Linked DNA regions of Neurospora crassa OR74A. The protein of the gene in region 2 interacts with the protein of the main gene of each other region in a biochemical or structural test. Links are inferred from orthologs where the notes say so. Each region holds a gene or a part of one and is shown on either strand. Other genes may lie near its edges. The genes, in order: Bml and NCU04581.

Region 1 (4,457 bases), on a different chromosome or scaffold from region 2:
CCTAACTGCGCTTTCCACATCCTATCTGAAGTCAAGTGCTCAGTACTACCTAGGCAGTTGGGTAAATGGAGACTTTCCATAATGGGCTTGTAAGACAGTTCACTTGGACTTGGTGTTCTGTTGTGGCTTTCGGTCTTGCAAAATACTCACTGCGAGAAGCTGGGAATCTTATCACTGACTCTGTTGACCATGTCTGGTTCTCGCCCTTCCTTGGTTACATTACATGACTCAACGCACATGAAAAAGTGGGCGAACATTTGAGTATCTAAAAGTCACCGACTGCCTTTTCGCCGCTGCCGCGTAACAGCTATTATGTCAGGGATAATTATGATAATCCCTGATCTACGTAGATCTGTCGCATCTTCCGCAAGCTAGTTACAAGTATACCGCACAACACAGACATAGTCCCCCAAAACTAAGGACTCTTGATACATCTCACGCTCCCATAGTTACAGAGTGCGTAGAGAGAAAGCTTGGCCAGCAGTAGACACTTGGAATCTAAACAGACATTATCATCATCATGCAACATGCATGTACTGTCTGATGTATTAAGAGTATAGGGGTCAACAACTAGAGTGTCTGACAGGTATATCTAGCAGTTTGATTTGACCATTCTTTTATTAAAACACTGTAACCCGCAACGAAGAACTCCTCCGCTTCAAGTCAAGAATGCGCATATGTGCGTAAAATCGACAAGCCCGGCGGCATTCCACCGAGCAGGGTATTGCCTTTGGCACTTTACGTGCGCAGAGGAGCCTGAATGTTGAGTGGAATGATTTACTCCTCGCCCTCAAGGGGGGCCTCCTCCTCGTACTCCTCCTCCTCCTCGTCAACACCAGCATCCTGGTACTGCTGGTACTCGGAGACGAGATCGTTCATGTTGGACTCAGCCTCAGTGAACTCCATCTCGTCCATACCCTCACCAGTGTACCAATGCAAGAAAGCCTTGCGCCTGAACATGGCAGTGAACTGCTCGCCGATACGCTTGAAGAGCTCCTGGATGGCGGTGGAGTTACCGACGAAGGTGGAGGACATCTTGAGACCGCGGGGAGGGATAGAGCAGAGGGCAGTCTGGACGTTGTTGGGGATCCACTCGACGAAGTAGGAAGAGTTCTTGTTCTGAACGTTGCGCATCTGGTCCTCAACCTCCTTCATGGAGACCTTGCCACGGCTGTTTGATTCGTCAGTATTAGTGGTCAAAAGCAGCATTCCATGATCAGCAACTTACAAGATGGCAGAGCAGGTGAGGTAACGACCGTTGCGGAAGTCAGAAGCAGCCATCATGTTCTTGGGGTCGAACATCTGCTGGGTCAACTCGGGCACGGAGACGGCACGGAAGTGGTGGGCGCCGCGGCTGGTAAGGGGAGCGAAGCCGACCATGAAGAAGTGGAGACGGGGGAAGGGAACCATGTTGACGGCGAGCTTGCGGAGATCGGAGTTCAGCTGGCCGGGGAAACGGAGGGAGACGGTGACACCGGACATGACGGCGGAGACGAGGTGGTTAAGATCGCCGTAAGAGGGGTTGGAGAGCTTGAGGGTCCTCATGCAAATGTCGTAAAGCGCCTCGTTGTCAATGCAGAAGGTCTCGTCGGAGTTCTCAACGAGCTGATGGACGGAGAGGGTGGCGTTGTAGGGCTCGACAACGGTATCGGAGACCTTGGGGGAGGGCACGACGGAGAAGGTAGCCATCATGCGGTCGGGGAACTCCTCACGAATCTTGGAGATAAGGAGGGTACCCATACCGGCACCGGTACCACCACCGAGGGAGTGGGTGATCTGGAAGCCCTGGAGGCAGTCGCAGCCCTCAGCCTCGCGACGGACGACATCGAGAACCTGGTCAACAAGCTCAGCACCCTCAGTGTAGTGACCCTTGGCCCAGTTGTTGCCAGCACCGGACTGGCCGAAGACGAAGTTATCGGGGCGGAAGAGCTGGCCGAAGGGACCGGCGCGAACGGCGTCCATGGTACCGGGCTCGAGATCGACGAGGACGGCACGAGGGACATACTTGTTGCCGGAAGCCTGTCAAGCGCGAAGCTAGTTAGCGAGCGAATTCTCGAGGAGGGGGAGATCGTCGAGACCGGTTGTTGCTCACCTCGTTGAAGTAGACGTTCATGCGCTCGAGCTGGAGCTCAGAGGTGCCATTGTACCTGTAGTGGGCGGTGAGCTTTCGAGGCCATCACCAGATATGGTTATTGGGCACGAGGTTACGTACACACCGGAGGCATCGAGGCCGTGCTCGCCGGAGATAGTCTGCCTGTTTATTCTGTCAGCGTCGGGCTCCCTCGCTCAAAGGTGTGGTTGTTCGCGATGATGACGACGTACCAGAAAGCAGCACCGATTTGGTTACCCTGATCGTGGCTGTTGTGTTAGTCCTGCTGTTGTTGTTGGATCGCGACGGGGGTGGAAGCCATCATCGACTTACGCATTGGCCGGTTTGGAGATGAACCTATAGCACGTGAAGAAATCGTGTCAGCGTCGATGTCCATAATACTCGCGATAGATGGCAGTCCGCGATGGCGAGAAAGCGAGCAGGATCATAATGAGTCGGGCAGCAGTAGGTAGAGGCACAGAAGGGGACGAGGCAGTTTGGTGGGGTAGAGCAATCAGGGGTCTCTTGGGAGGGAAAGAGAAAAAAAAGAGGGATTGCTCTGCGTGCGCGGCACAGTAGGCATCAGAGGGAGACTTACAATTTCACGCATCTTGACGGTTTGGTGATGACGAACACGGGTCTATGTGGAGGTTGAAGGCAGAAAGATGGAAGAGCAAAAAGATGGAAGTGGTGATAAAGCCGACGCGGATAGACGAAGACGACGGAGGTCGGTGAAAGTGGAGAGGTTTGATGTCTGGCCTAGGGGAGACTGGGAAGTCTTGGGAGTGGAAAGGGAGATTTGTTGATTTTTGGTGCAAGAAATGAGCGGGCCACAGCCGGCCAGCACCAGCTTCTCGTTCACCGCCGCCGCCGCTCGCCGGGCTGCTGCTGGGTTGCCGGGGCGCTTGCCAAAGTGGGGACATCAGGCACTGTCAAACTTTTGGAAGGGTGGAAGGCCCCCTGTCGACTCGGTTTGGGTGGTCCCTGCACTCTGGCTCGGTTCCTCACGCGTTGACCTCCAAAAACCGCCAAAGACAAACCTCCCCCAGCTGTCTCTCGGGGCCAGCGCGACGCGCTAGTCTGCTTCTGGTTGGCTGGCAGAGTTGGCAGGCAAAACCAGCCGGGCGGCGGGTCCCACATGCTCCTGCCAATGTGGGGTAAGTCGCCAGCTCGAGACCGCTGTCGAACTGTCGCAACCTCCAATTGGATTTGGCTGTTGGTTTTGGGCACGACTCGGTCACTGGCCCGGCCAGACTTGGGAGATCAGGAACAGCATCGCGACTCGTAGGGGGCTACATTCACATCCATTGTTGAGCCCGACCTGCAAATTACCTAGCTGGAGATCAGGGAAAAACAGACACATAGATGGAAACTCCTCAATTCGACGCGGCATTATACACTAGTATAGTTGATGCCATCCATGACTTCCACTTACAAAGGAACAAGGGAAGCAAGCTACCCCTCCATCTCGGCACGCTTCAAGCTTCGTAGCTTACGGTAGTGTACGGGGTACTGTATGGGCCTGCTGATTGGCAATTTGGGGTAGTAGTGTACCTTGATTGCCAACTGCCCGCAGAAGGGAAGGATGAGCCCGCTCTCCTGAACCTGGTCGCATATCATTTATCGAACAAAACACCGGAAGTTGGGATTGGGAAAAAGGAGATCTCATTCACCCAAATAACGAAAGGATCGCTCGTTACTTGTACCTTACATTGAGCAGTACACTAGAAATATGTAGGTCCACTGCATTGCAGCAGCCATGCAACATTTCGCTGTCGCCTATGATGGCAGGGATGATGACCTTCATTTCCCCATCTTCTTGTCAGTCAGGTGTACATGTAAACAAAGTTGAGGGGACAGAGACAAAAGAAGGATGGAGCTGGACAAGCACGGAATGCTCCCCAACATATACGGAATCAGAATATGAAAGTTGTAGATAGACATTGACATATTAATTTAACTAGAAGAATGATCAACCCGTTCATGAGGCTATTTCATGACTTGATCATTGCTGTTGATGGCTTTTTTTTGCCATGCTGTGCGTAGGGTATGCTTCCGCTTGCTCCACCCCCGTGTGTTCGTTTTTATTTGTTTTCCCTCCCTCCATTCCCCATTTCACAACCTAACCCAGAAGCAATGCAAATGGTATAAGGAAGTGCTGCTGATGCTCAAGGAAGATCCCGCCATGCAAGAAAACAAGAACGATGAATAAGCCGCACGCCCTGCTATGCCATGGCCATTATGTCCCCATACATTTTCCTGCTTTTTCCTCTCTCCTCATTACAGTAGAGCAGTGCGACCCGCCTTGCTGTCGCATCCTCTCATGTCTTGCTTTAATCAGTCGAAACCCCGCTTTCAGTATATCTTC
Region 2 (4,378 bases):
CTCCATGGTGTACGTCCACGACTTCTCCCTAAGTTTCGTTATGGTATCGTATATCATGTGGGTGGCTCGCGGGATCATGCCATCTGGAGACGACATAGTGTACGTCTTGCCAGAACCGGTTTGGCCGTAGCAAAAGATACACACGTTGTAGCCGTCCAAAGCGCTCTGTACCAGCTGAGAGATCTCGTCGAAGATTTCCTCGTTGTGGACTGACGGAGCAAAGACTCGGTCGAATTCGAAGGGGAGCACCTTGCGGTTGATGTTTCCAAAGCTACTCTTTTCCTCGAGCCCGGTCACTTCAATCTGTGCGGACGACGTTTTGGCGTCGGGGAACATAATCTTGGCCTCGCTGCCTTCGGATTTGCCGAGTGCAGGACGGACTCTGCACATGACCCGGATATTGCCTTTGAGCTCCTGGTACTTGTTGAACAATATCCGCCTCTCCGTCTCCTCCTTGATGAGCTTCTGTTTGGCGTTCTCCGCGATTTCCAGGGCCTCCCGAAGCCGTGCCTCCATCTGTGCAAACGAATCCGACTGTTGCTTGCTATCAGATTCAAGGAAGTCAATCTGCGCCCGAAGTCCTTGGTTCCGGGCTTCCAGTTTCCCATTTGTTGTCGCCATCTCATTGATCTGTTCCTGCAACGCCCTTTTGTTTTTTTGCTCTTGGCTCAGTTCTGACCGCAGATCGTCCAGTTGAGATTGCAGTTGCCGTAGTTCTCGTTCTTTCTCCAAGAGCGATTTGTTGATATCCTGCTGTTCTGCCCCAAGCTTCAGCCGCAAGTCTTGGACCTCCTTTGCCGCCTTTGCCTTTTCACCCTCCAGATCTGCCCGACATTGCCTCTCAAAAGCGTCCTTTTCCTCGCGGTTGATTCGTTGCAGTCGTTCGCTTTCCTGTTTCAACTTTCTCTGTAATTCTTGGACTTCATGTTCATGCTCTCTTGACTTGTTCTGAAGTTGATATTCATGGTCCATCTTCTGTCTTTCCAGTGTGAGGGTCAGTTGTTGGAACTGTTGTCGCAACGCATCCATCTCCTTCTGCAGCAGTTCGTTTCTCTCGTTCAGTTTTTGTCGTTCCGCCTCAAGTGTGTCCACTAGTAGGTGTCAGTCAGCCTGGCGTGTTTGTATACTTGCTGCCACGTACCTTGATTCTTTGCCATCTGAACGGCCGTTTCCATGGCCTTCTTGTCTTGCAAAGATATGCTGAAAGCCTCCTTCATCACCTTCCATTCCGCATCAACCTCGTTGAGCCGCTCGTCGACGTCAATGCCTGTGAATGCGGTGTTATTAGAATCCTTGGTGAGAAAAGAAAGCTTGACAGGTGAAACGGATTTTCGGGTCGAGGCAGTTCTGTGAGCGGAGACGACGGCAGAGTTGAGAATGACCTCGAAACGCTCCATAGCCGCACGGGGGTCTTCCAATCTTGACTTTGCTTTAGGGGTCTCCGGGTACGCCGTTGTCGACTGTTGGAGAGAGGACTTGCGTCGTGCGGGTACGGCTCCTTCGGTTCTTCGTCTGGGTCTTCTAGCAGGCTCCGCCTTAGCATCCGACTAAGACGCTTGGGAGGCGGGCTGCGAAGTCTTTCGAGGCGTCACTTGACTCCCGCTGGGGATGTTCTCCTTCTCATCACAGATCGACAAGTCCTGCAGGCGCCTGCTCAGACCCGAAACAGCCCTTTCCTTCTCTTGCTCTTTACCCGACGTTGAGTATCGTGGTGAAGGAGATCCCCGTGTCTTCTTAGGCTTGACTTTGGGTCCGGGGACGGGTATAGAAGATAGAAATTCCGTACCATTAGGCGGCTGGGTAGGCGCCGGCTGTGAAGGCGCTACGCTAACGTCTCTCGAAGGTCCATGGCCGCTCATCGATGTTGCTGGTCGTGGCTTGGAAATGGATCGCGATCGATTTGTGGGCTGGTTGAAGCTGGGTTGTCGTAATCCTGTTACAGGTGGTCGGCTTGAAGGACCCAAACTCTTTGTGAAGCTGGATGGGTTTGTCGAGGAGTAAGTTGGCCGATGACCAGTCGCCGAGCTTGCGCGCGGGAGCGCCGTTGCCGTCGTTTTGTTCGCATTTCGGGCCTAGAGAGACATCAAGTCAGAACTGACCTAAGCCATATCGACGCGCATAATTGATCCCACAGTGGCCATCCTTCGAAAGCACCGGGAAACGGTGTGTCACGCGACAGTATGGGATTTGTGTTGTGGAAGGTGGCCGGGCTTGTCGTAAAATCAATTTGAAGATGGCAAACAAGACTCAGAATGTATGGTGCTGATGGGCGGAGGTTGGACCTACATTAGCCAACTGAACGATTGATGCGCCGGATATGGTGCCTGTGAGAAAGGCGCTGGTGGGCGTTGGCGCTGGTAAATGGGACTTTGGCTGGATAGGCTCGCCGGCCCTCTCGGCGAGGGTTTTTCGTTTCGCATCAGGCGGGGCGACTGAAGAACATGGCGTGTTAGCCATCGAGGCCATGGACAATGGCATGGACAAAGCCATGATGTATGTGGTGGGTGTTTGATCTAGCTGGTAAACAAGACGAAGCAGGTGGAGGGGATGTCTTACCACCGCTGTCGTTTGCGGCGCGCTTCGTGGGTATGGACGACATTTGCGCTCGCGCGTTGCTCTGGGAGTCGGAGATCTCTTTGAGGCCGGTGGGAGCAGTCGCGGTGGCCGTGGCGGCGTAGGTGGTTGGAAGTCGCAACTTGGTCGAGGCTGGGTTAAGGGCGTTCTACAATTTTCGATAAGCGGGCTGCCCTGCTTCTCCATCTTATCGCAGTAGGGAAATGATGGAACAATCAAGACACAACGAAGTGTTTTAGACAGCTGTGATACGTACCCTGTTCTCGGAGCTCTCCATGGCGAGCGTGCGCATGCGAGGGATGATGTTGTTCACCAGCACACACGAGCCGAGCAGCAACGCCCCAGATGTCGAGGATAGTGATGGCGCCGTTGTGAAAGTCGTTCAGTACCTAGTCATGCGCCTTCAGCGACGGCGTGCCGGCTCCAGAGCGTCGATTGGCGTACAAGCGGCGGTTGAGTGGGACTTCCACTTGCGAGTTGGGCCCGGTCCTGGCCCTGCATCGCTTTGTTTACTTCACCACGGCAACCATTTCTCCCAGCGCTATGTCCAATCGTTCGACCTCGACCAAGCGGGCGAGCGGGGCCCACAGTGTGCAGGTGCCATCTTAGGCCACGGGACGGTACGTACCTGCTTGTTCCTTGCGCTAGACCATTCTCTGCAGCGCCAAGACATCTGCTCTCCTTTCGGTCTTCATTGTCCCGACCTTGCAATGTTTCTTGCACTAAACAGCCACAACCTTTTATCACAGAATCTTCGACAAGTGTCCGATTCTGTTTCAATACTCTGATTGGTTCTAATCCTGCTTCACATAGGTTATTAGGACGGGAAATGTTACAAGCCGATACTCTCATGTTTCGAAGACAATGGTTTTGGACACCACGATGTCCAGACTCAGGTAAAGCTCGCCTATCTCGCTCATGCATCCATCGCGTACCCCGAAAAACAAAGCACTTTGTAGGCCCATATTCCTTTCTTGGGCCAGCATGCAGTGGTTCTTTACATGTTGGTTCAGCGGGCAAGCCAAACAACGCTTTGGACGTTTTGAGATGTTCCCTCACTGGTCGAGAGTCTTGAACGATGACCATATAATCTCGCCAACATCTGCCTACTTCAGGGCAACGCATCTTAGTACTTCTCCTATTCTACCGTCACTGTGATCTGGTGTGTTATATCAGTCATGAATGCTGGAGTATCCTGTGCGCAGTTAAAAGATGACAGCTCCTACGCGCGATTCAATGTCCAACTACACGTCAGAGAGATTTCTATCCCTGACGAGTGAAACCAAATCATCCTCATTAACCTCATTAACCGTTCTCCCAAACCCCTCATATATACCTCAATCCCTTTTCCTCCATCCCACACCATCTACCTCCTCCTCTTCTCCCAAGCCTTCACAAAGTTCTTCTTGTCCTCCACAGTCAACCCAACTCTCTTCGCCCTACCCAACCTCGCCAACGTCTCCGCCACCTTATCCAAAAGCCTCTGCTCCTCGGCCGTCAACTCTCCATCCCCTCCCTCTTGCCTTTCGCGGACATCCACCCCCGAGCTCTCCCCATGTGAAACACCATTGCTAGCCCCTACGGTATTAACCAGCCCCTCGCCAATGCGAATCCTGATACAGTGCGTCGGCCTAGCCAGCAACTTCCACAGAAAGCTCAACCACACCTTCACTCCCCCAGGAACCGGGGTGGTGTCGTCAACGGGGGTATACCGCAAGCTGAGCGGGAAGATCTGCGTCGAGCTCGGAACGGTAAGCAGCGACGGCGAAAGCGGCAAGATGCCCTTGCCGTTGGTGGTAGCGCA

The links.
Region 1: the proteins of NCU04581 (region 2) and Bml form a complex in vitro, tested with the Saccharomyces cerevisiae proteins (2 studies listed by BioGRID, with this or other methods). The link is inferred for Neurospora crassa OR74A from reciprocal best matches to the Saccharomyces cerevisiae genes KAR3 and TUB2.

Annotation. Positions count from the first base shown.
Region 1 is NC_026506.1:2,581,308-2,585,764, reverse strand, and holds Bml (tubulin beta chain), read right to left. Parts: upstream 2,901-4,457; 5' UTR 2,700-2,900; coding exon 2,688-2,699; intron 2,447-2,687; coding exon 2,423-2,446; intron 2,349-2,422; coding exon 2,323-2,348; intron 2,255-2,322; coding exon 2,213-2,254; intron 2,148-2,212; coding exon 2,093-2,147; intron 2,020-2,092; coding exon 1,229-2,019; intron 1,172-1,228; coding exon 778-1,171; 3' UTR 250-777; downstream 1-249. UniProt on the Saccharomyces cerevisiae protein: Tubulin is the major constituent of microtubules, a cylinder consisting of laterally associated linear protofilaments composed of alpha- and beta-tubulin heterodimers.
Region 2 is NC_026505.1:1,612,280-1,616,657, forward strand, and holds the start of NCU04581 (kinesin), read right to left. Parts: upstream 3,044-4,378; 5' UTR 2,867-3,043; coding exon 2,831-2,866; intron 2,723-2,830; coding exon 2,557-2,722; intron 2,433-2,556; coding exon 2,287-2,432; intron 2,073-2,286; coding exon 1,787-2,072; intron 1,268-1,786; coding exon 1,142-1,267; intron 1,092-1,141; coding exon 1-1,091. Other genes in the region: NCU04580 (vacuolar protein sorting protein Vps66), read right to left, coding at 3,941-4,378. UniProt on the Saccharomyces cerevisiae protein: Minus end-directed microtubule (MT) motor involved in spindle midzone assembly, poleward transport of newly captured kinetochores along the lateral side of MTs, karyogamy (nuclear fusion) during mating, and with an essential function in meiosis I.